Drosophila melanogaster: one gene and its partners. The protein of the gene in region 1 purifies or fractionates together with the protein of each later gene. This does not show direct contact. Each region holds a gene or a part of one and is shown in the gene's direction. Other genes may lie near its edges. The genes, in order: Spt6, Dis3, Mtr3 and Ski6.

What was found.
Region 2: the proteins of Spt6 (region 1) and Dis3 purify together in Drosophila melanogaster (co-purification; one study listed by BioGRID). This does not show direct contact.
Region 3: the proteins of Spt6 (region 1) and Mtr3 purify together in Drosophila melanogaster (affinity purification with western blotting; one study listed by BioGRID). This does not show direct contact.
Region 4: the proteins of Spt6 (region 1) and Ski6 purify together in Drosophila melanogaster (co-purification; one study listed by BioGRID). This does not show direct contact.

What each region holds. Positions count from the first base shown.
Region 1 is NC_004354.4:6,265,984-6,273,844, forward strand, and holds the start of Spt6 (Spt6), read left to right. Parts: upstream 1-1,813; 5' UTR 1,814-1,923; coding exon 1,924-1,962; intron 1,963-2,123; coding exon 2,124-2,208; intron 2,209-2,783; coding exon 2,784-2,989; intron 2,990-3,141; coding exon 3,142-3,261; intron 3,262-3,330; coding exon 3,331-3,482; intron 3,483-3,547; coding exon 3,548-7,861. Other genes in the region: schlank, read right to left, coding at 424-608. UniProt on the Drosophila melanogaster protein: Histone H3-H4 chaperone that plays a role in maintenance of chromatin structure during RNA polymerase II transcription elongation.
Region 2 is NT_033777.3:24,331,463-24,337,783, forward strand, and holds Dis3 (Dis3), read left to right. Parts: upstream 1-1,970; 5' UTR 1,971-2,030; coding exon 2,031-2,410; intron 2,411-2,462; coding exon 2,463-2,907; intron 2,908-2,970; coding exon 2,971-4,049; intron 4,050-4,105; coding exon 4,106-4,774; intron 4,775-4,831; coding exon 4,832-5,207; 3' UTR 5,208-5,571; coding exon of another isoform or gene 5,572-5,608; 3' UTR 5,609-5,786; downstream 5,787-6,321. Other genes in the region: Rrp5 (ribosomal RNA processing 5), read right to left, coding at 1-1,622, 1,679-1,759; CG6432 (uncharacterized protein), read left to right, coding at 5,572-5,608.
Region 3 is NT_037436.4:19,911,875-19,915,513, reverse strand, and holds Mtr3 (Mtr3), read left to right. Parts: upstream 1-1,798; 5' UTR 1,799-1,884; coding exon 1,885-2,035; intron 2,036-2,093; coding exon 2,094-2,923; 3' UTR 2,924-3,109; downstream 3,110-3,639. Other genes in the region: Rpn1 (regulatory particle non-ATPase 1), read right to left, coding at 1-323; Prp3 (precursor RNA processing 3), read right to left, coding at 3,186-3,639.
Region 4 is NT_033779.5:13,220,884-13,224,049, reverse strand, and holds Ski6 (Ski6), read left to right. Parts: upstream 1-1,620; 5' UTR 1,621-1,689; intron 1,690-1,742; exon of another isoform or gene 1,743-1,819; 5' UTR 1,820-1,828; coding exon 1,829-2,569; 3' UTR 2,570-2,653; downstream 2,654-3,166. Other genes in the region: CG16812 (uncharacterized protein), read right to left, coding at 1-59, 118-705, 762-1,178, 1,303-1,321; mRF1 (mitochondrial translation release factor 1), read right to left, coding at 2,785-3,166.

The sequences.
Region 1 (7,861 bases):
GGGAAAACTTCGAGTTGCAGCAACAAAAAACGCGTGTATGCCGCACAAACCGCACACAAGCAAACAAGCGCTGTTTCACACACACACACATATATATATATATTTACACGGACGCTTGCAGAATGTTGGGCGTTTCCACGTGAGGTTATGTTTGTCGATAAAAAAAAAATGAAATGAAATGGAGAAAAGAAGGAATTATGAATAAAGTTTACTGTACATGGTGCAACAAACGTGGGGCGGTGGGCTTACTCAATGGTAAGGAGAGCGAGAAAGAGCGGGAGAGAGCGAGGGAAAGCCGTATGAATGGGGTTAGAGAAAGAGGCGGAATGGAATCATGTTGCCGGGAATGGCGAGAATGGAAAGGGAGTCAGTCAGTTGGTTGGGAAGAGTGCGGAGGGGGGAAAATGGACGTGGAAAACTTACCGCTCCAGCGTGTAGCGGACCAGCATGACAACAGCGGCGAATGGAATGGGCCATATGAGGTCCTTGTAGTTGGCGTGCACCACATCTGGACGCGAGCCGGGCGCAATGTCCGCCCAGGTTGTGTTCGGCGGCAGCCAAATGTGCGTACTCCAGAATACATTGCTGAACTCATTCAATATGTCCATGTTGCTGCTTCAGTTGCCGCTTCTTAATTTCTCAATTGTTTGTTTTCTTTTTCTTGGTTTTCCTTTGCTTAGCTTTCCAGTTTTTCCTTGGCGTTTGTTGTCACATATGTATATGCTTTGCTTTTTCTAAATATTCGCAATTGTATGAGCCTGTGTTATTGTGCCTTGCGAACAACAGCAACAATAACAGCAAGAACAACAATAAGCGACAACAACAGCAACAAGAACAACAACAGGAGCACCGGACACTAATGCACACTCACAGCGTAGCACAAACACACACTGGCAAAAAAACAAAAACCGCCGAATCGAATTGTTGTTGTCTTGTCTCGTTAACTTGCGCTTATGGCTTTTCTAATTCTACTTCTATTTCTATTTGGATTTCGATTTAATTCGTTTTTGGAAATGCTACCTTTGCCGTTTGTTTGGGAGCGTAAATGAAGTGAAGTTCCCTGACAATCTGTTCTCGACCAAAGCAATAGACTTTCTGAATTTCGGCTCGGTGTCGAGTCGGCCGCCGCTCGTTTCGTCCACTTAAACTTTCAGGATGAACGAAAAAAAATACTAATAGTATTTCCTCGTCGAGCAACAACAATACAGTGTGCCCAGAGACGGCGGAGCAGTAAATGTAACTGCAGCGCGACAAGTGTGCCCGTGTACGGGAAGACAAGGAAAGCCAGCAAAAATAAGGCTTTAGAAGCTACACAAAATACCAAATGCACTAATAATTTTAAAGAACTTTTAATTCACAAGTTTGCGAATTTTGTTTATTGCTTATTATTATTATTGTTCATTACGTTTACCACTAGTTTTTGAGAGAAATTATTATGCGCTACAATTAGTGTTGGTTTTTCGGTAAGAACTCATAAAAGTCAACTATGTAAAGGAAGTATGCCATGGACTATAATGGAAATTAGCAAACTTCATCGTTGAGACCAAAGGGCATATGTGTGTTCCCATATAGGGGAATTTTCCCGCTTATCAATACAAGTATGTGTGCAAAATTCTTGTCCAATTGTTGTCAGCACATGAAAACGGATAACTAACCATAGGTTATAGGAAGGATCCACTGTAGTTCTGCAATGCAAACCAGGGCTGGCAGCGAGAACACTGCTGTAAGCTAACAGCAAACTGTACTGTAAACAGTAGAAAACTGTTCGTGGTATTTAGTATTTAGCTAGTATTTTAATACCAACTTTTGTGCAATGCGATGAGAAATAAAGAAGAAGAGAAGAGGAAGAAACGCTCACAAACTCTTCGTTTCTCTGCATTAATACGCACTTTATTATTAAGTTAAGCTTTATTCCATTATATTATGGCCGAATTTCTGGACTCCGAGGCCGAGGAATCGGAGGTAGGTGTCTGCGGAACCCCAAAAACACTATTTCTAGAAGCGCGTACCGTTCGTGCGTCGTTATGTGTGCGGTGTGCGTTGCGCCTTGCGTGTGTGTACATACATATGTGCCTACATATATATTGAATTAACCAAATGGCTTTTCTTCGTTTTTCCCGCAGGAGGAGGAAGAATTGGACGTCAACGAGCGCAAGAGACTCAAGAAACTGAAGGCGGCCGTCTCCGATAGTAGCGAAGAAGAAGAAGGTGAGTTTTTCCACTGGAGCCGCTGAAGGCGCGTACAAATACATACATACATACATACGTATGTGGCGATCTCTGGCGGGTTTTTCACCCCTCTCACCATCCATCGATCGGAACAGTCCATATCCGGGATAAAGGCACCTATAACTGGCCAATGCCACACGCTTGCAACTTCTTTTGTTTACAACTTTGAGGTTAGGTCTTGTGTTTTTACCGTGCTACCGTGGCCATCAAATATCAGCATCAGCAGTAGCAATAGCAGCAGCAACAACAACAAACAGCTGCGCTCGTTCCAGTAAATAAAACAAGTGCGGCGAATTGGAAGAACGCGGCGTATTCCAAGAAATTGCAAATCAAAGCAGGGAGGGAGAATTAGTTCAATAGATGGAGCTGGAATAATCAATGGTTAGGGCTTATCTATATCGAAATCTAGGTAATTTATCAAATGTAGGTCTTTCTCAAAACCGGGTGAATTACTTAAATTTAAGCTTTAAAAACAGTTTTCAGTTGCATATGTATATCTGCGGCTACAATGAAGGTAAAAGGTAAACCGATATTCTTATTGCCCTATTCCGTAGACGACGAGGAACGGCTGCGCGAAGAGCTCAAAGATCTGATCGACGACAATCCCATCGAGGAGGACGATGGCAGTGGTTACGATTCCGATGGCGTCGGCAGCGGCAAGAAGCGCAAAAAGCACGAGGACGACGATCTGGACGATCGACTGGAGGACGACGACTACGATCTTATCGAGGAGAATCTGGGCGTCAAAGTCGAGAGACGGGTAGGTGTTCCCTTCAGGGAAGAACTATGTACTTTTTAAACTCCAATTGTGGCTCCAATTTCGAAGCTTAACTAACAAAGAATAACATAGCTGAGGGATTGGGGCTTCTATCTCCTCAAATATATTGTTTGAAATTATGTTTTCCCTTGTAGAAGCGGTTCAAGCGTCTGCGTCGCATCCACGACAACGAAAGCGATGGCGAGGAGCAGCACGTGGACGAGGGTCTGGTGCGTGAGCAGATTGCCGAGCAGTTGTTCGACGAGAACGATGAGGTATGCCACTAGTAATCCCTGACCACCAATTAATGCACAGTGTCCAACTGATTGCCCCTGATCCTACAGAGCATTGGTCATCGCAGCGAGCGCAGTCACAGGGAGGCGGACGACTACGACGACGTGGATACGGAGTCGGACGCAGATGACTTCATTGTGGACGATAATGGGCGTCCCATAGCCGAGAAGAAGAAGAAACGGCGCCCCATCTTTACAGACGCGTAAGTATACAAACTATAATAAAGTTTAGATATCAATAGATACGATTAATATAATCCAACCACAGATCACTTCAAGAGGGTCAGGACATCTTTGGCGTAGACTTCGACTATGACGACTTCTCAAAGTACGAGGAAGACGACTACGAAGATGACTCGGAAGGAGATGAGTACGATGAGGATCTGGGCGTCGGCGATGATACGCGCGTCAAGAAGAAGAAAGCGCTCAAAAAGAAGGTGGTCAAGAAGACAATCTTCGACATATACGAGCCCAGCGAGCTCAAGCGTGGTCATTTCACCGATATGGACAACGAGATTCGCAAGACAGACATCCCAGAAAGAATGCAGCTGCGAGAGGTGCCCGTAACCCCGGTGCCCGAGGGATCAGACGAGCTGGACCTCGAGGCTGAATGGATCTACAAATATGCCTTCTGCAAGCACACTGTTTCGGAACAGGAAAAGCCGGAGAGCCGCGAGAAAATGCGCAAACCACCGACAACCGTTAACAAGATTAAGCAGACGCTAGAATTTATACGCAACCAGCAGTTGGAGGTGCCCTTTATAGCCTTCTATCGCAAGGAGTATGTGAAGCCAGAGCTTAATATCGACGATCTCTGGAAGGTTTACTACTACGATGGGATCTGGTGTCAGCTAAACGAGCGAAAGCGCAAGCTAAAGGTGCTTTTCGAAAAGATGCGTCAGTTCCAGCTGGACACGCTATGCGCCGACACAGATCAACCCGTACCGGATGATGTTCGCCTCATCCTGGACAGCGATTTCGAGCGCCTCGCCGACGTACAGTCGATGGAGGAGCTAAAGGACGTGCACATGTACTTTCTGCTGAACTATTCGCATGAGCTGCCCCGCATGCAGGCGGAGCAGCGACGAAAAGCTATACAGGAGCGTCGCGAGGCCAAGGCGCGTCGCCAGGCAGCCGCCGCTGAGAACGGTGATGATGCGGCCGAGGCGATAGTTGTACCAGAGCCGGAAGACGATGACGATCCCGAGCTGATCGATTACCAACTAAAGCAGGCGTCCAACAGCAGTCCCTATGCGGTATTCCGCAAGGCGGGCATCTGCGGCTTTGCCAAACACTTTGGTCTCACGCCGGAGCAGTATGCCGAAAATCTGCGCGACAATTACCAGCGCAATGAGATCACCCAGGAAAGCATCGGTCCCACAGAGCTGGCCAAGCAATATTTGTCGCCGCGCTTCATGACCACGGATGAGGTTATCCATGCCGCAAAATACGTTGTGGCCCGACAGCTGGCACAAGAGCCTCTGCTGCGCAAGACCATGCGTGAGGTGTATTTCGACAGAGCTAGGATTAACATACGGCCCACCAAGAATGGCATGGTGCTGATCGATGAGAATTCGCCGGTGTATTCGATGAAGTACGTGGCCAAGAAGCCGGTAAGCGATCTATTTGGCGATCAATTCATAAAGCTAATGATGGCCGAGGAGGAGAAGCTGCTGGAGATAACGTTCCTCGAGGAGTTCGAGGGCAATGCGTGTGCCAACGGAACACCCGGTGACTATGTGGAAGAGTCCAAGGCCCTGTACCAGCTGGATCAGTTTGCCAAGCACGTGCAGGAGTGGAATAAGCTGCGGGCGGAATGCGTACAGCTGGCGCTGCAGAAGTGGGTCATTCCGGATCTGATCAAGGAGCTGCGCTCAACTCTGCACGAGGAGGCTCAGCAATTTGTGCTGCGTTCCTGCACGGGTAAGCTGTATAAGTGGCTAAAGGTGGCACCCTATAAACCGCAACTGCCCCCCGACTTTGGCTACGAGGAGTGGAGCACGCTGAGGGGCATACGGGTGCTGGGTCTGGCCTACGATCCCGATCACTCAGTGGCCGCTTTCTGTGCGGTGACTACCGTGGAGGGCGACATCTCCGACTACCTGCGACTGCCGAACATTCTGAAGCGCAAGAATTCTTACAACCTTGAGGAGAAGGCCCAGAAGTTGGCCGACCTTCGAAAGCTGAGTGACTTTATCAAAATGAAGAAGCCACACATTGTTGTCATCGGAGCGGAATCGCGCGATGCCCAGAACATCCAGGCAGACATTAAGGAGATTCTGCATGAACTCGAGACCTCCGAACAATTTCCGCCCATCGAGGTGGAGATAATCGACAACGAGCTGGCCAAGATCTATGCCAACTCGAAGAAGGGCGAGTCTGACTTTAAGGAGTATCCTCCTCTGCTGAAGCAGGCTGCTTCGCTGGCCCGCAAGATGCAGGATCCGCTAGTGGAATACTCACAGCTGTGTGATGCGGACGACGAGATTCTCTGCCTGCGCTACCATCCGCTACAGGAGCGTGTGCCGCGCGAACAGCTGCTGGAGCAGCTCAGCCTGCAGTTTATCAATCGAACGAGCGAGGTGGGTCTGGACATTAACCTGATGGTGCAGAACTCACGGACCATCAACCTGCTGCAGTACATCTGTGGCTTGGGTCCGCGCAAGGGTCAGGCTTTACTTAAACTTCTTAAGCAGAGCAACCAGCGGTTGGAGAACCGCACCCAGCTGGTCACCGTGTGTCATCTGGGGCCCAGGGTCTTTATCAACTGCAGCGGTTTCATTAAGATCGATACCTCATCGCTGGGCGACAGCACAGAGGCGTATGTCGAGGTGCTGGACGGGTCGCGTGTGCATCCAGAAACGTACGAGTGGGCCAGAAAGATGGCCATCGATGCCATGGAGTACGACGACGAGGAGACCAATCCGGCCGGTGCCCTTGAGGAAATTCTCGAGTCGCCAGAGCGCCTTAAGGATCTCGATCTGGACGCATTCGCTGTGGAACTGGAGCGCCAGGGATTCGGCAGCAAGAGCATAACCTTGTACGACATAAGGAACGAGTTGAGCTGCCTGTACAAGGACTACCGCACTCCGTACACAAAGCCCAGTGCGGAGGAGCTCTTCGATATGCTGACCAAGGAGACGCCCGACTCGTTTTATGTGGGCAAGTGCGTCACGGCCATGGTCACCGGTTTCACCTACCGTCGGCCGCAGGGCGATCAGCTAGACAGCGCAAATCCGGTGCGTCTAGATTCCAACGAAAGCTGGCAGTGCCCCTTCTGCCACAAGGACGACTTCCCAGAGCTGTCCGAGGTGTGGAATCACTTTGACGCGAACGCGTGCCCTGGCCAGCCATCTGGTGTGCGTGTGCGTCTGGAGAACGGCCTGCCTGGCTTTATACACATCAAGAACTTGTCCGATAGACAGGTTCGCAATCCCGAAGAACGTGTGCGCGTCTCACAGATGATTCATGTTCGCATCATTAAGATAGACATTGACCGGTTCTCAGTCGAATGCTCTTCGAGGACCGCTGATCTTAAGGATGTGAACAATGAGTGGCGGCCGCGTCGCGACAACTACTATGATTATGTGACTGAGGAGCAGGACAATCGGAAAGTGAGCGATGCCAAGGCCAGGGCTCTGAAGCGCAAAATTTACGCGCGTCGCGTAATCGCCCATCCCAGCTTCTTCAACAAGTCGTACGCGGAGGTGGTGGCCATGCTAGCGGAGGCCGATCAGGGCGAGGTGGCCCTGCGTCCGAGCAGCAAGTCCAAGGACCATCTGACAGCCACCTGGAAGGTGGCCGACGACATCTTCCAGCACATCGATGTGCGCGAGGAGGGTAAAGAGAACGATTTCAGCCTGGGCAGAAGTCTGTGGATCGGCACCGAGGAGTTCGAGGATCTGGACGAGATCATCGCCCGCCACATCATGCCGATGGCCTTGGCTGCCCGCGAACTGATACAGTACAAGTACTACAAGCCAAACATGGTGACCGGCGATGAAAATGAACGGGATGTCATGGAAAAGTTGCTGCGCGAGGAGAAGGCAAATGATCCGAAGAAGATACACTACTTTTTTACGGCCTCACGCGCCATGCCGGGCAAGTTCCTGCTGTCCTATCTGCCCAAGACGAAGGTGCGTCACGAGTATGTGACGGTCATGCCGGAGGGCTATCGTTTCCGTGGCCAGATTTTCGATACGGTTAACAGTCTGCTGCGTTGGTTTAAGGAACACTGGCTGGATCCAACGGCCACGCCGGCCAGCGCCTCGGCGTCCAACTTAACGCCACTGCACTTGATGCGTCCGCCGCCGACGATCTCGTCGTCATCCCAGACCTCCTTGGGCCCCCAGGCGCCCTACAGCGTCACTGGCAGCGTGACTGGTGGAACGCCGCGCAGTGGCATCAGCAGTGCCGTCGGCGGTGGCGGTTCCAGCGCCTACTCCATTACGCAATCCATCACTGGCTACGGCACGTCGGGCAGTTCTGCTCCAGGGGCTGGAGTATCTTCCTCCCACTATGGCAGCTCATCGACGCCGTCGTTTGGCGCCATCAATACGCCATACACGCCCAGTGGACAGAC
Region 2 (6,321 bases), on another chromosome or scaffold:
GAGCTATTTTCCTTTAGATTCTGCCTGTGCAAAACTCCTTTGATGCCGTTGCCGAACTTCACTAGGACGTAAGTGTCCTCACATCGGACTACTGTGCCCATATAGACGTTTCCAACGTGAGCGGACGCATAATCAGTCAGAATTTTAATTCCCTTGCCCAAATACTCGGCACGATTGCTCACGTAGCAGATTTTTCGCTCGGCATTAACTTCTAGGACGCGGCACTTCAACGACTGACCCACATCGTAGCGGACATTGGGTGCCAGATAGAACTGTTCCAGTATTCCGTTGACCTTGCCGATCCTCACCGACCAGCCCTTGATCTTGTCATCCTTCTTGAATATTTTCGCTGTGACCAGATCGCCGGCATTAATATCCTCCAGGCAGAACAGCTTTTCGTTGACCACGTTGGGATCATCGGAGCAGTAGTACAAGGATTCGATGACATCGTATCCTAGGATGCGAACCTTATGCTTCGTTTTTCTTCCGTATTTGGACAATACTTCGTCCTTGTCATAATTTCCCTTGAAATTGCCTCTGATTGAACCGTATGAGATAATGCCCTTTAGTTTCTTATTAAGAAGCAGTACCACGCCACCGCTGCCCAAGCGCAGAACCTTGGCTTTTTCCACCACGGAACCCACCTTTATGGGCTCTACCTCCTGCTCTTCCTCATCCTGATCTTTTGCTACTGCAGCTCCAGTTTTGATATCCAGATTAAGAGTTAAGTACACTAGTTTGGTTAGGGGCATCACGTAGAGTACCCTGGCATTGTAATCCTCATTCAGCTCGTAGGCATCCAAAGTATCCAAAGCGTTAGCTAGATGATGTTCGTTGACGTAGGCACTAAAGGATTCATTCATGATGCTGCCTTTGAGGCCATCCTTCAGATGCTTGGCCACCTTAAACTTTACAATGCTGCCTGGCAGAATGTAGTCGAGATTCGTCTCGTTTTGACTCTTGATGCGCAGCTGGTCCTGCTCCACCTGGACACAGGTGCAGGTGCTCTGGTGGGTGTCGTGATGAACGGTTTTGACTTTTAGGAAAGCCAACTGCCCCACGTGTAGCTTCTGAGCTGGCTTCTCGCATGGCACGAATGCCTGAAGTCCTTGTACTCCCGACTCGATGACATAGCCGTGCTCCAGAGCCTCCGCCACGGCGCCAGAGAAGATGAAACCCTTCTTAATGCTCTTGTGATGCAGATTACCGTGCACATCGGCCGGCTTGAGGGAAAGGAGCAGGCTAACCCGACCGGTGTCCAGCTTTTCTGTTTTGATGGCCTTGCCGTAGACGATGCGGCCCAACTGGAAGAGCTCGGTAAGGTCGTGGTACTCGCTGGTGTCTCCGGACATGGCCGCCTTGGCCACACGGGTGTAGGCGTCGGATATATCCGCCACCAAGGTGCGGGCGAACATCCGACCGGGCAAAGCGATCTGCAGTGCGGTGGCTGTCAACTCCTTGACCACTCCCATGACCAGCATGTCCTCCTGCAGCGTGTCCATATTGAGCGTTTCCGCGGAGAAGGCCTCCAGTTGGCCATTTTGTTCCTCGGTTTCGTAGCTCAGAAGGTTCTCTTTTACTTTCGGCGCCTTCTTCACCTTCTTCTGCGAGGCACCGAAAACCTGTGGGACAGAAAAGTATGTACAAAGATCTCGGATATTTCGCTGGCTAAACTCACGATATTCAGGCTCACGTCGTCGGTTTTGACTTCGCTGTGGATTGTCCCGCCTCGGGGAAAGCTTTTCTCGTTCGGCACCATCCGGGAGCTGTGTAATTTAGCGTTTTAAATAACAAAATTTGAGCAACGTGCGTTCTACACGTGCTAAGCGCCGATATAGAAAATCAGTTCAATAAATGGTACTAAATTATACCTTAAGATACGGGGCAGTCCGTAGACTCAAACCACTGTGACCATTGCGGCTGCAGTGTGAACAGGCCTTAGGCAGATAATACCGCAGTCGAATCATGCACGGGCCTCCCTATTCCGGCACACATGTGAAGGTGTAACAATTCGAACGCGGTTCAACAAAATGCAAACTTTACGCGAATTTACGCGTAAAACCAAGCGCGGCAACATTCTGAAGATTGTACGGGAGCACTATCTGCGCGACGACATCGGCTGCGGCTCCGAGCTGTGCCGGGAGTGTTTCCAAAACGAGGTATACCAGCTCACCTCGCAGCACGCGAATAAGAGCACCCTCTTCAAATTCCCGCACTATCTCGTTTTGGACACAAATGTGGTTCTGGACCAGATCGACGTGCTGGAGGAGGATGTTTTGCGCAACGTAGTCGTTCTGACCACCGTGCTCAACGAGGTGAAGCACAGGAGCTCCGCCATTTACAAGCGATTCAATGAGATCGTCCACGACCGCACCAGGAACTTCTATGTGTTCGTCAACGAGCACCACAAGTGGGTTAATGGATTTTCTTGGGAAACCTTTATAATATAGTGCTTCTTCTAGGGAAACCTATGCTGATCGCGAACCAGATGAGACCGCCAATGATCGCAATGATCGGGCCATTCGTCTGGCCACCAAGTGGTACGATGATCACCTGCAGGCCTCGCAATCCTCTAAAGAGTTCGAGCGCAGTGGCAAAGCTGCTACGCGAGTTGTTCTGCTCACAGATGATGCTGCCAATCGTGCTAAGGCCGAAGCAGAAGGTATTCTGGTGACCACAGCAGCGGAGTACGTGAAATCTCTCGAGGATTTTCCACTTCTGATGGATAAGCTGTCGCACAAAACATTCGACAGCGAGAAGAATGGTCTGCCCCAGTACCCGCCGCATCTCAGCATGAAGGAGCTGCTGGAAGGACTGCGCCAAAATAAGCTACTACAGGGCACTTTTCAGGCATCCAGGGAAAACTACTTGGAGGGCACCGTCAATGTAGAGAAATTCGAAAAGGGGGTAAGTTAAAACGCTAAATATCTTCCCTGGCATACGCTTCACAATACGATTTCTGTTTAATAGATCCTTATCCAAGGACGCGAGTCTCTTAATCGGGCCGTGGATGGCGACCTGGTGGCCGTGGAGCTTTTGCCCGAGGCGGAGTGGTCAGCACCCAGTGAAATTGTACTGGAGGAGAAGAATGTCTATGCCGATGAAGTGCCCAGCGAGGAAAGGGCCAAGGATGAAAATGAGATGTTGAATCAGGTGCGTGCCGCTGCCTTATCCGCAGAGCGCACGCCCACAGGGCGAATTGTCGGTATTGTGCGACGGAAATGGCGACAGTATTGCGGCATCCTGCAGCCTAGCTTAATAGAGGATACAAATCGGCACATCTTTGTGCCCGCCGACCGTAAGATTCCGCGCATCCGTATCGAAACGCGACAGGCAGCAATGCTGCAGAACCAGCGCATCATCGTAACGATTGACACATGGCCGCGCAACTCGCGCTACCCACATGGACATTTTGTGCGCTCCCTGGGACCGCTCGGAGACATGGCCACCGAGAACGAGGTTATCCTGCTGGAGCACGACGTCCCGCACTGCAAGTTCTCGGACGAAGTGCTTAGCTTCTTGCCGAAAATGCCCTGGACAATTACTGACGAGGACTATTCCAAGCGTGTGGATCTGAGGGATCTGTACATTTGCTCTGTGGATCCCCCGGGCTGCACGGATATCGATGATGCTTTGCACTGCAAGGAACTACCGAACGGCAATCTGGAAGTGGGCGTTCACATAGCCGACGTAAGTCACTTTATTCGTCCAGGAAACGCACTGGACATGGAGGCAGCGGCCAGGGGAACCACCGTGTACTTGGTGGGCAAACGAATCGACATGGTACCCGAGTTACTCAGCTCAAATCTCTGCTCATTGGTTGGCGGTGTTGAGCGATTCGCCTTCTCCTGCGTGTGGGAAGTGGACAATGAAGCAAATGTGTTAAGCAAACGCTTCCACAAGAGCGTCATCAAATCGAAGCGTGCCATGACCTACGAGGAAGCGCAGAATATCATCGACGATGCCACGCAACAGAATGAAATAGCCAAGTCCCTGAGAAATCTTAATCGGTTGGCCAAAATACTGAAAAAGCGACGAATGGATAATGGGTAAGATTATATTAACACCTCGTAATCAAGTGAACTAAGGCATCCATAATTTACAGAGCCCTTGTCCTTGCCTCCCCGGAGATCCGCTTCCAGGTGGACAGCGAGACACACGAACCACTCGAGGTGGAGGTGAAGCAGATGCGCGAGACGAATTCCATGGTGGAGGAGTTCATGTTGCTGGCCAACATCACGGTGGCCGAGCATATCGCAACGGAGTTCTCCGAGTGCGCTGTTCTGCGTCGCCATCCTCGGCCACCGCCTACCAATTTCGATCCGCTGGTAAAGTCTGCGCGCTACCAGGGCTTCCAGGTGGACATCAATTCGGGACTGGAGCTGTCGCATTCACTGGACAAGTGTGTCAAGGCGGATAATCCGTACTTTAACACAATGATCCGCATCCTCACCACACGCTGTATGATGCAGGCAGTGTACTTCATCAGCGGCAGTCTGCAGAAGGAGGAGTTCTTCCACTACGGTCTGGCTGCTCCCATCTACACGCACTTTACGTCGCCCATTCGTCGTTACTCCGACATTATGGTACATCGCCTGCTGGCCGCCTCAATCGGCGCGGATAGCACCTATGCCCAGCTATTGGACCGAAAGTCAAATGAGGAGCTGTGTCATAATCTTAACTACCGCCACAAAATGGCTCAGTACGCTGGTCGCGCATCAGTGGCCCTCAACACGCATCTCTTTTTCCGCGGCAAGGAGGAGGATGAGGAAGGGTGAGTCGAAGAAACCACTAGTGGGCAACATTCTTTTCAATTATTACCCATCCCTAGATATGTGCTATTTGTGCGCAAGAATGCTCTGCAAGTGCTAATCCCCAAGTATGGCCTGGAAGGCACTTTGTATCTAAAGTCGGACAAGGATGGCAAGGACGGTGTGGAGCGCGTCAAGAGCGAGATTGTCTTCACCTTCAACGAAGAGGATCATACACAGCGTTGCGGTGACGTGGTGTTCCACTCCTTTGATCCAGTCACGGTTCGTCTTAGCCTGGATTCCAGCAATGTGCAGCACGAGAAGCTGATCTTCCGGCTGGTCAAGCCGTACATCAAGGGCTTCAGCGTGGAAACGACCACCGAAGGAACTGATAGCCAAGCGGTTTCTGCGGCACCTCCATCGAAAAAGACAAAGAAGGATAAGAAAAAGAAGTAATTCTTTGGATCTTTGCTTATGTGGAACTAGACTACGCTGAAGATGTGTAACTACAATCATTTCGTATAAATAAAATGTAAGGTTTTTAAATTCCGCTCCGTTTCGTAAACCTTTTCCACCGTTCCGGCTCTGCCGATCTCGGAGAGTTTCGAAAGCATACCTTTGATCGGGTGTTTTGTTTAAGGTTTTGGTTTCCAACTTGCGTTCTACATTCTCCAGACCCATTGCAAAGTTTCGACTACAGTGCGACGGTTGTGCTGAGCTCGTTTGATCCAAAAAATTCAAAAAGAATATATATAATAAATACATATATACATTAACTTGACTTGAATATATACAAGAACGGAAGTTATACAAAGTTACAATGGAACCCGGTCCTAGTGCAGTGAACTACGAAGGCAGTAAGTCGAAAAAGGTTTCGAAATTCATATGAAAAGGCTAAAAAATTTAATCAATGAGTAATCGCGTGATTTTTGCGGAACATATATTTATATCGGTACACATATTTTAATACGCATATTGAAAACATCAGTTAAAATAAACAACTTTTAGAACATCAAATAAAGTGCTTGGAAAACTAATATGCCAACTTTCGTTGTGATCTAAATGAATTCTATAGATTTTCGAATTTTCCAAAAACTATCTAAGTGGAGTCCAACTTTTTACAATATTCTTGGATTCTTGCAGTGCGATGTAGATAGATAGATAATTTATGCACAAGAGTTCAAGGTGATAAATATTGTGTTTTAAACCACTGCTCGCCAATTAAAATAATGAACTTTCGATGCGACTTTGAAGTGATTAATTAGTGTTTAGTTGTGCGCCCAAACTGTCGGCACTAAATATTAATGAATTCGATTAGCTTATTCAACAAGGAGGCTTTTAGGTCCAATATCCATCGCCAATCACGTGTGGATTATGCTCGGCGTCTGGGTGAGCCGCACACCCGACGCATATGTGCAGTACATGGGTGCCAGGTTGGGTATATAGAAATCAGTTGAGTGACCGCGACATTTGGAAAATTTAAAATTCAATGTGCCTGGTGTGTGTAAGGTGGTATGGAGTGGAAGGTTTGTAATTTAGTTTGATAGCCTAATTAAAAGCAGCGATTAAC
Region 3 (3,639 bases), on another chromosome or scaffold:
TACACCGTCTTCATGGTTTCGTAGTGCGGGCGCATGAACTTCAAAGGCTTGGGCACCGAGGTCATCGACGTCGTGGAGGCTCTGATCAATTTGGCCATACTCTCCAGCGTCGGCTGGTAGAGCTTGGCATCCGGCTCCTGCAAGTGCTGCACCAGCAGCTCCAGCTCCTCCTGCAGCTGCTGGTCCTCGTCGGAGAGCTCCGGCTGCTGCTCCTTGTCCTTGCCGTCCTTCTTTTCATCCTTCTTGGCCTTCGGATCCTTGGCATCGCCTTCGGATGCCGCCGGCTTCAGCGGCTTCTTCTCCAGCTTGGTCTCGCCCGTCATGATTTCTTTCCTAGCTTGTCGGACTTAAGGGATTTAATTGGCACTACGTTTTCTTCGATTGTAATGCGGTTTATGCGGCTTTGTTCCTTCTTTTTCGTTGTTGAAACAGCAGAATTACACAGCGCTTTTTGCAGTGTGACCGCGCGGCGAACGCCAGGCTATGCCGCGCTAATCTGTTTAAAATACCAGAATAATCAGCTACCGTTACCACGAGCTGGTAACGTTCAAATAGTGATGGCAGTGACTTTCACCTTATCGATTTTTAGGGGCCTTGCCAATCAAAATTGAAAGGTTTAGAAAGTGAAAGAAAAAGCTAACTATATTTGTGTATGTGTATATATTTAAAAATGTTGTGATATGCAGATATTTTAAATATCCATTTAACTTCCGGCCTTTGCAGTTGTATTAGCTGTAATTCCTTGATATCAACGGAGATCGTTTATATTTTCAAACATGTTGGGCTACTTATGACACAATGCGTTATTTTCTGGCCAAAAAACTCTTGTCTGCTTTTGCTGCGGAAGTATTTGGTGAAGTAGCGAGTCCCAATATGCAAAAATGGGTCTCTTGAAATTAACTGATCTAATCTGATTTCTTCAGAAATTGGTTGATGGTTGGTTAGGATGTTAATGGATCTCTCTAGTTCCAACATTCATCCTGCGTAATATCTTCGTGAGTTTAGGAAAAACATTATTTCACTGACACTGATTCATTAGATGAATTCTCGGCATCTCCTACAAAACTGTCTCCGTCATCGGACCCCAAAAGCTGTGAATTTGAGAAATCCTCTTGATCCGAGGTATTGTGGTTCTAATTTTTTTCTCTCTTGACTTTCATATCAGCAGCAATGGCAGAACTTTTGGTCCTGCAAAAAAAGGAATCAGTCGTCAGGTGTATATAATATTAGAGATATGGGTTTCAAACTATGAATGGGTAACTCCGAAATAATGGCTATTCCGCATGGCTTTTACTTGTCTTGAATTTTCTTTTAAGATAATACTAAAGCTAGCCTCGCAACTCTTCACTGAAATTCAAAAGTAAAATCTATAACGCGGGCATATATCCTACCATCAGTATTCTATTCCGCGACACACTATTCCAGGCCTGATGCAAGGCCATCCATGGCAGTGCTTCTTGTCGGCCATATTCCCAGAAATCTCTTCAGTCTGTACCGAGTGGATTAGCGTTATCTTAAGCGTTGTTTTACACTTCGGCAATCGATTTTTCTGCGATTATATTTAAGCTCTTTTTTCTCTTAGTAACAAAGAAAATACTACTAAGTTATCAATTATCAGAAGGAATCAAAACATTATTTAGACTTTATAAATAATTAGCACAATTAGCACTAATAAGAAGACTTATTTTAGGTTCTTATTATTAAGGTTCTTTGAAGGTTTTCATTCAAATACGATAACCCACGAAACGATACAGAATCGGTATAAAATATCGAAATATACAAAAATACCAGATTTGTATTTTAATCGAAAACTTAAAAGTCTTTAGACCACATGTGAACTCAGTTTGTTTATTTTTATATTCAATCAAAAGATATAATATAAATATGCTAGCGGTGAACCAGACGAAGAACACCCTACTCGATGGAGCCTCCATTGAGGAAGAGCCGTACACAACTCCGCAGGAAAGCGAGGATTTCTTTGAGAGTCTAGACAAACCGTCGAGGGAGCCAACACAACTGGCACCCAGAAACACCTGTTAGAAGTGCACATCCTTATTTGTATTTCAATTTCTCATACCTCTTGTGACTTACAGTCATCCGCGCCGGTGTGTTGACCACAGTGAGAGGTTCCGCCTACATGGAGTATGGTAACACCAAGGTTCTGGCCATTGTGGCCCCGCCAAAGGAGCTAATCCGCGCCAGCGCACGCAGAATGAACATGGGTGTTCTGAATTGCTATGTGAATTTTGCGGCCTTCAGCACAGGGGATCTAGATTCGGTGCCGGAACGGGAACGCCACCTGAGCAGCATGCTGACCAAGGCCATGGAGCCGGTGGTGTGCCGCACGGAGTTCCTTAACTTTCAGCTGGACATACGGGTGCTTATTCTCGACGATGACGGCTGCCTGCTCAGCACTGCCATCAATTGCTGCGGAGTCGCTTTGGTGGAGTGCGGCATTTCCACTTACGACTTAATTACGGCCTCCACAGCTTGTATCTATCGGGATCACGTCTTCCTGAATCCCAGTGCCAAGGTTGAGGAGCTGCTCTGGAAGCATCGCAACAGCAGCACCGATAGCACAACCAGCCCATCATCCGCCCAGGAGCACGGCCTGATCATTACCGCCAGCATGGATACCTTTGAACAGATCGCCCAGTGCCAGCAGTGCGGATATCTCAGTCCAGCCACCTATGTAAAGCTGCTGGATTACACCCTGGCCATTAACAAGTCCCTGAGAGAACTAGTCAAAGGCGTGCTCACGAAGCGGGTGAAGGAGCAGCACGAACTAGATCTACGCGAGAAAGCCGAGACCGCTCTAGAAGATCAGCGTTTGGAGGAAATAATCGAGAAGCTAAAGAAGCAAGGACCAGAGGAGTTTATACAATCGAACATCCGGGAGGATCCCTATGTAAAGAGGCAGTAGTTGGTTGAGAATAAATCATACTAATATAAATCCCAGATCTATTTGAACAACAACCACCACTTAAAAAATGATTACTACAAATATTTAGAGTCCAGATAAAACTTTTATTCGTTATTTTTGCACTTCCAAAGTTCCGAATAGCTTCGAAAATAATAACATCAAATGCGTAGCGCGCTTCAAAACTTTAATTCAGACTTGTATCTTTCCGAAAGTGAATTTGTAGAACTGTAGTGTATCTAGCAATTCTTAAAATGCCTTTTATCTACTGCTGATCCGTGGAGGCCTCAAGCACGGCTCCGGAGTAGGCCAGATCCCAGTAGTGTTCGACCTGGTGCTTCTGAAAAAACTCACGGGCCATTTTTTCCATTGGAAAGATCTTAAACTTGATCTCGCCAAAGTGCCGTCGCTGACTAGTCCCCTCCCAGACGAGTACGCATGAGTTCGGCACGTCCTGGCCGTCATTGCCCTTGGCGTTGTCCTCCTCCCACTTAATGCGCGTTAGCATGAGCCTGCGATACTTTTTCTGCTGCTTGGGCCCACCCTCCACGACAACCACACAGCAATCCCGGAACAACACCACGCTGCCGGTCATCTGCAGCTGCTTGGCATTGGTCTCCACCTTGAATTTCTTGCTCTGGTTGTCCTGCAGATCTCGTATGCGATAGACGCTGACATGTACACCGCAGCTGGTGTCTTCCCTCAGCTTGCGCTGCTTC
Region 4 (3,166 bases), on another chromosome or scaffold:
TTTCCTTGCAGGCGATGCCTTTAGGTTGTATGTCTTCTTCGTGGCATGAAGTTTGGATACTAAAAAAAATGTTATAAATTAATTGACTGTGCCACTTCTGCTCTGAAGCAAACATACCCATTCCGAGCCTTGATTTAATATTATTCGCAAAACTTTTGCCCTGCCTATTTTTGTATGCCGATTCGGGAACGATTTCCCGAACCTCCGCTGTCGAGGCGAACTTAACAATCTTTTCGCCGGCTCCCATATCAAAATCTTCTCCGCTGGACATGTAATCCTCTTCGTCACTTTCGAAATCGTCCATGCTATCATCGTCGTCGTCGCCTTTTTTAAGAGGCACTTTGTGAACTAGCATGACCTTTTGCTGCGTTACAGCGGCCACCTTCTTCGCTTTCACAATGGGCGAGTTCTTGGTGACCCCTCCTCCTCCTCCTCCACCACCAACTGTACGGTGTGTGTTTTTAAGGATCGATTTGATTTCCCTGGTCGAAGTGAACTCCTCCGGAAGAGCGCCCTGCTTGCCACCGAGTCGAGCGAAGACCGAATTATTGCTGGAGGTGGCCGCTGTTTTTGATGCGCCGGCAACGTGCACGCGGACGCTGCTCTCGCCCGAACTGGAGACAATGCCCTCCTGCGCCTCGTCCTCGGCATGCAGGCGCGTAAATATGTCCGACTTTTTGGAGCTGCTCACACGATCGGAGTATACTAAAAGAAGATATATTGAAAATTTGATCTTGTTCTTTAGAAATCTGTAATCTTACATTTTTCCCGCTTGGCTAAGATCTGTTTGCTGCGCTCGGTGGTTCCCGAGGGCAGTGTCACCTTGTACTTGCCCTCGTGCTCCGGAAGCACCCGTCTTGCAGGTTTCGCAGGCGGATAAACCTTTGCTTTTGGAGTTGCAACCGGCGCTTTGGGTTTTGGCGATACCGGTCGGACAACTGATTGAACCACCTCCGTTGTGAGGACCTGTTCCCGGGCATTCTGTTCGCAGACGGTCTTTGAGTGCCGCAGGATGGCGATTATATCGCCCATCAAGGTTATGCCCATTTCCCGGAGATACTCCTTGTTAAGATCCAACAGCATGTCGTCCTGGATGCGGTTCTCCACGAAGACGTGGGCATAGCCGGCAGCCGCAGGAGATGGGATGCCGGCCGCATTGAAGAATTTTACCCAGCGTGCTGTAATTTTCGGTGGTGAGTTCATTATTTTTAAAGTGTGTGATATTTTTTAGGTCTTTATTTTTGTTTCGCACCCGGAAGCGTCTGTTCAGTTTGTTTCGTTTTCACGATGTTATAAACCCACCTGCGCTTGACTTGGACATTTTGCGTATTTCTGGTGCTGGCAAGCACAGATTCTTACACGATTCAGCTACTATTTATTTATTTTATTCCCATAAATTCCGTTTTTTGCACTCGAAACTATTTATATATTTTAGAGTTACCACAAATCCTGAACGATTATCGGTATTCGGTTATCGGATATCGATTAGACCATGTGTTAGTGTTGTTAAATTCCAAAATGTTGTAGTAGGGGTAATCAAAGCAAACACTGTTCAAATTTAAATTTAAAGAATCTTATTAAAATCCTTATTAAATTTCTATATATCGTGATTTAATGTAGTACACTTTGGCAATATATGCTTAATTATTTATTTACTCTTACATACGTACGGTGTACATATTAAAAGAAGTTAGTATAAAAAGGATTTTTTCATGGACTGTCGGTATTTTTAGTACTTCCACACTGTTGTTAAAATTGTAAACAAATCCCGCCGCACGTGTGATATTTAGTTAAAATCAAAATAATTGTATTTCTAAAGTTTCAAAATATGTCTGGTAAATACGATCTGCTCAGTGAGCAGGGCCTCCGTCTGGACGGACGACGTCCTCATGAATTGCGCCGCATCAAGTGCAAACTGGGAGTCTTCGAGCAGCCCGATGGAAGTGCCTACATGGAGCAGGGAAACACCAAGGTTCTGGCTGCCGTCTATGGACCCCACCAGGCCAAGGGCAATCAGACAGAGTCCGTCATCAACTGTCAGTACAGTCAGGCAACCTTCTCCACGGCGGAGCGCAAAAATAGGCCGCGCGGCGATCGCAAATCTCTGGAGTTCAAGTTGTACCTGCAGCAGGCGCTAAGTGCTGCCATTAAATCAGAACTATATCCCCGCTCCCAGATAGACATATACGTGGAGGTGCTCCAAGACGACGGCGCCAACTATGCGGTGGCTCTTAATGCCGCCACACTGGCGCTAATTGATGCGGGAATCTGCCTCAATGAGTTCATTGTCGCCTGCACCGCCTCACTGAGCAAATCGAACATCCCGCTCACAGACATCTCTCAGTTCGAGGAGGTATCCGGCGGACCGAAACTAACCGTGGCTGCCTTGCCTACCGCCGAGAAAATCGCCTTTCTTGAGATGAGTGAGCGGTTCCACATCGATCACTTGGAAACCGTCATCGAGACTGCTATGGCGGGTTGCCGCGAAATAAGGGACATTCTGGAGGCAGCAGTCAAGGAGCACCTTCTGCACATGGGCAGTGCCTCTGACTTTGCGAAAGTTGGTTGAAATAAAGTAATCTTTTCTATTCCAATCTTGTCGTTTTTTACAATTGAAGGGCAACAATTATAATAAAAAGGAACCAACATTTACAAATTAAATAGTGTCTTTAACATTGTATTCAGATGGCTGCCCTTGCTCTCTTTTAATATAATTTCTGTTGCAAAAGCACAATTATCCTCTAAAACACAGGCGTATAAATGTAGTAACAAACGAAAGTAGCTCTAGTTTTTCTCAATAGCTTCTTTTGGTGGCTCCCACCTATCCAAGAGCTCCTTTAGTCGTTCCCTTCGATGTTCCAGTTGCAACTTCTCTATTAGTCCACTCAGTTGGTCGCCGCCCTTGAGGAAACCATTGAGGTTGTGCAGCGTACCGCCTTGAATTCGATGATCCGTTATGCGGTCCTGGACGAAATTGTAGGTACGGATCTTCTCATTGCGATTGAGACTACCCTGTTGCGCCTTCTTGGTGGCCATTTTGCTAGCCTCAACGCTCTCCAACTGCTGTTGCACAAGTCGCGACCGTAGACGCTTCATCGCTAGCTCCCGGTTTTTGAGCTGGGAGCGTTCCGATTGCGCCTCCACCGCCAGACCCGTGGGCAGATGA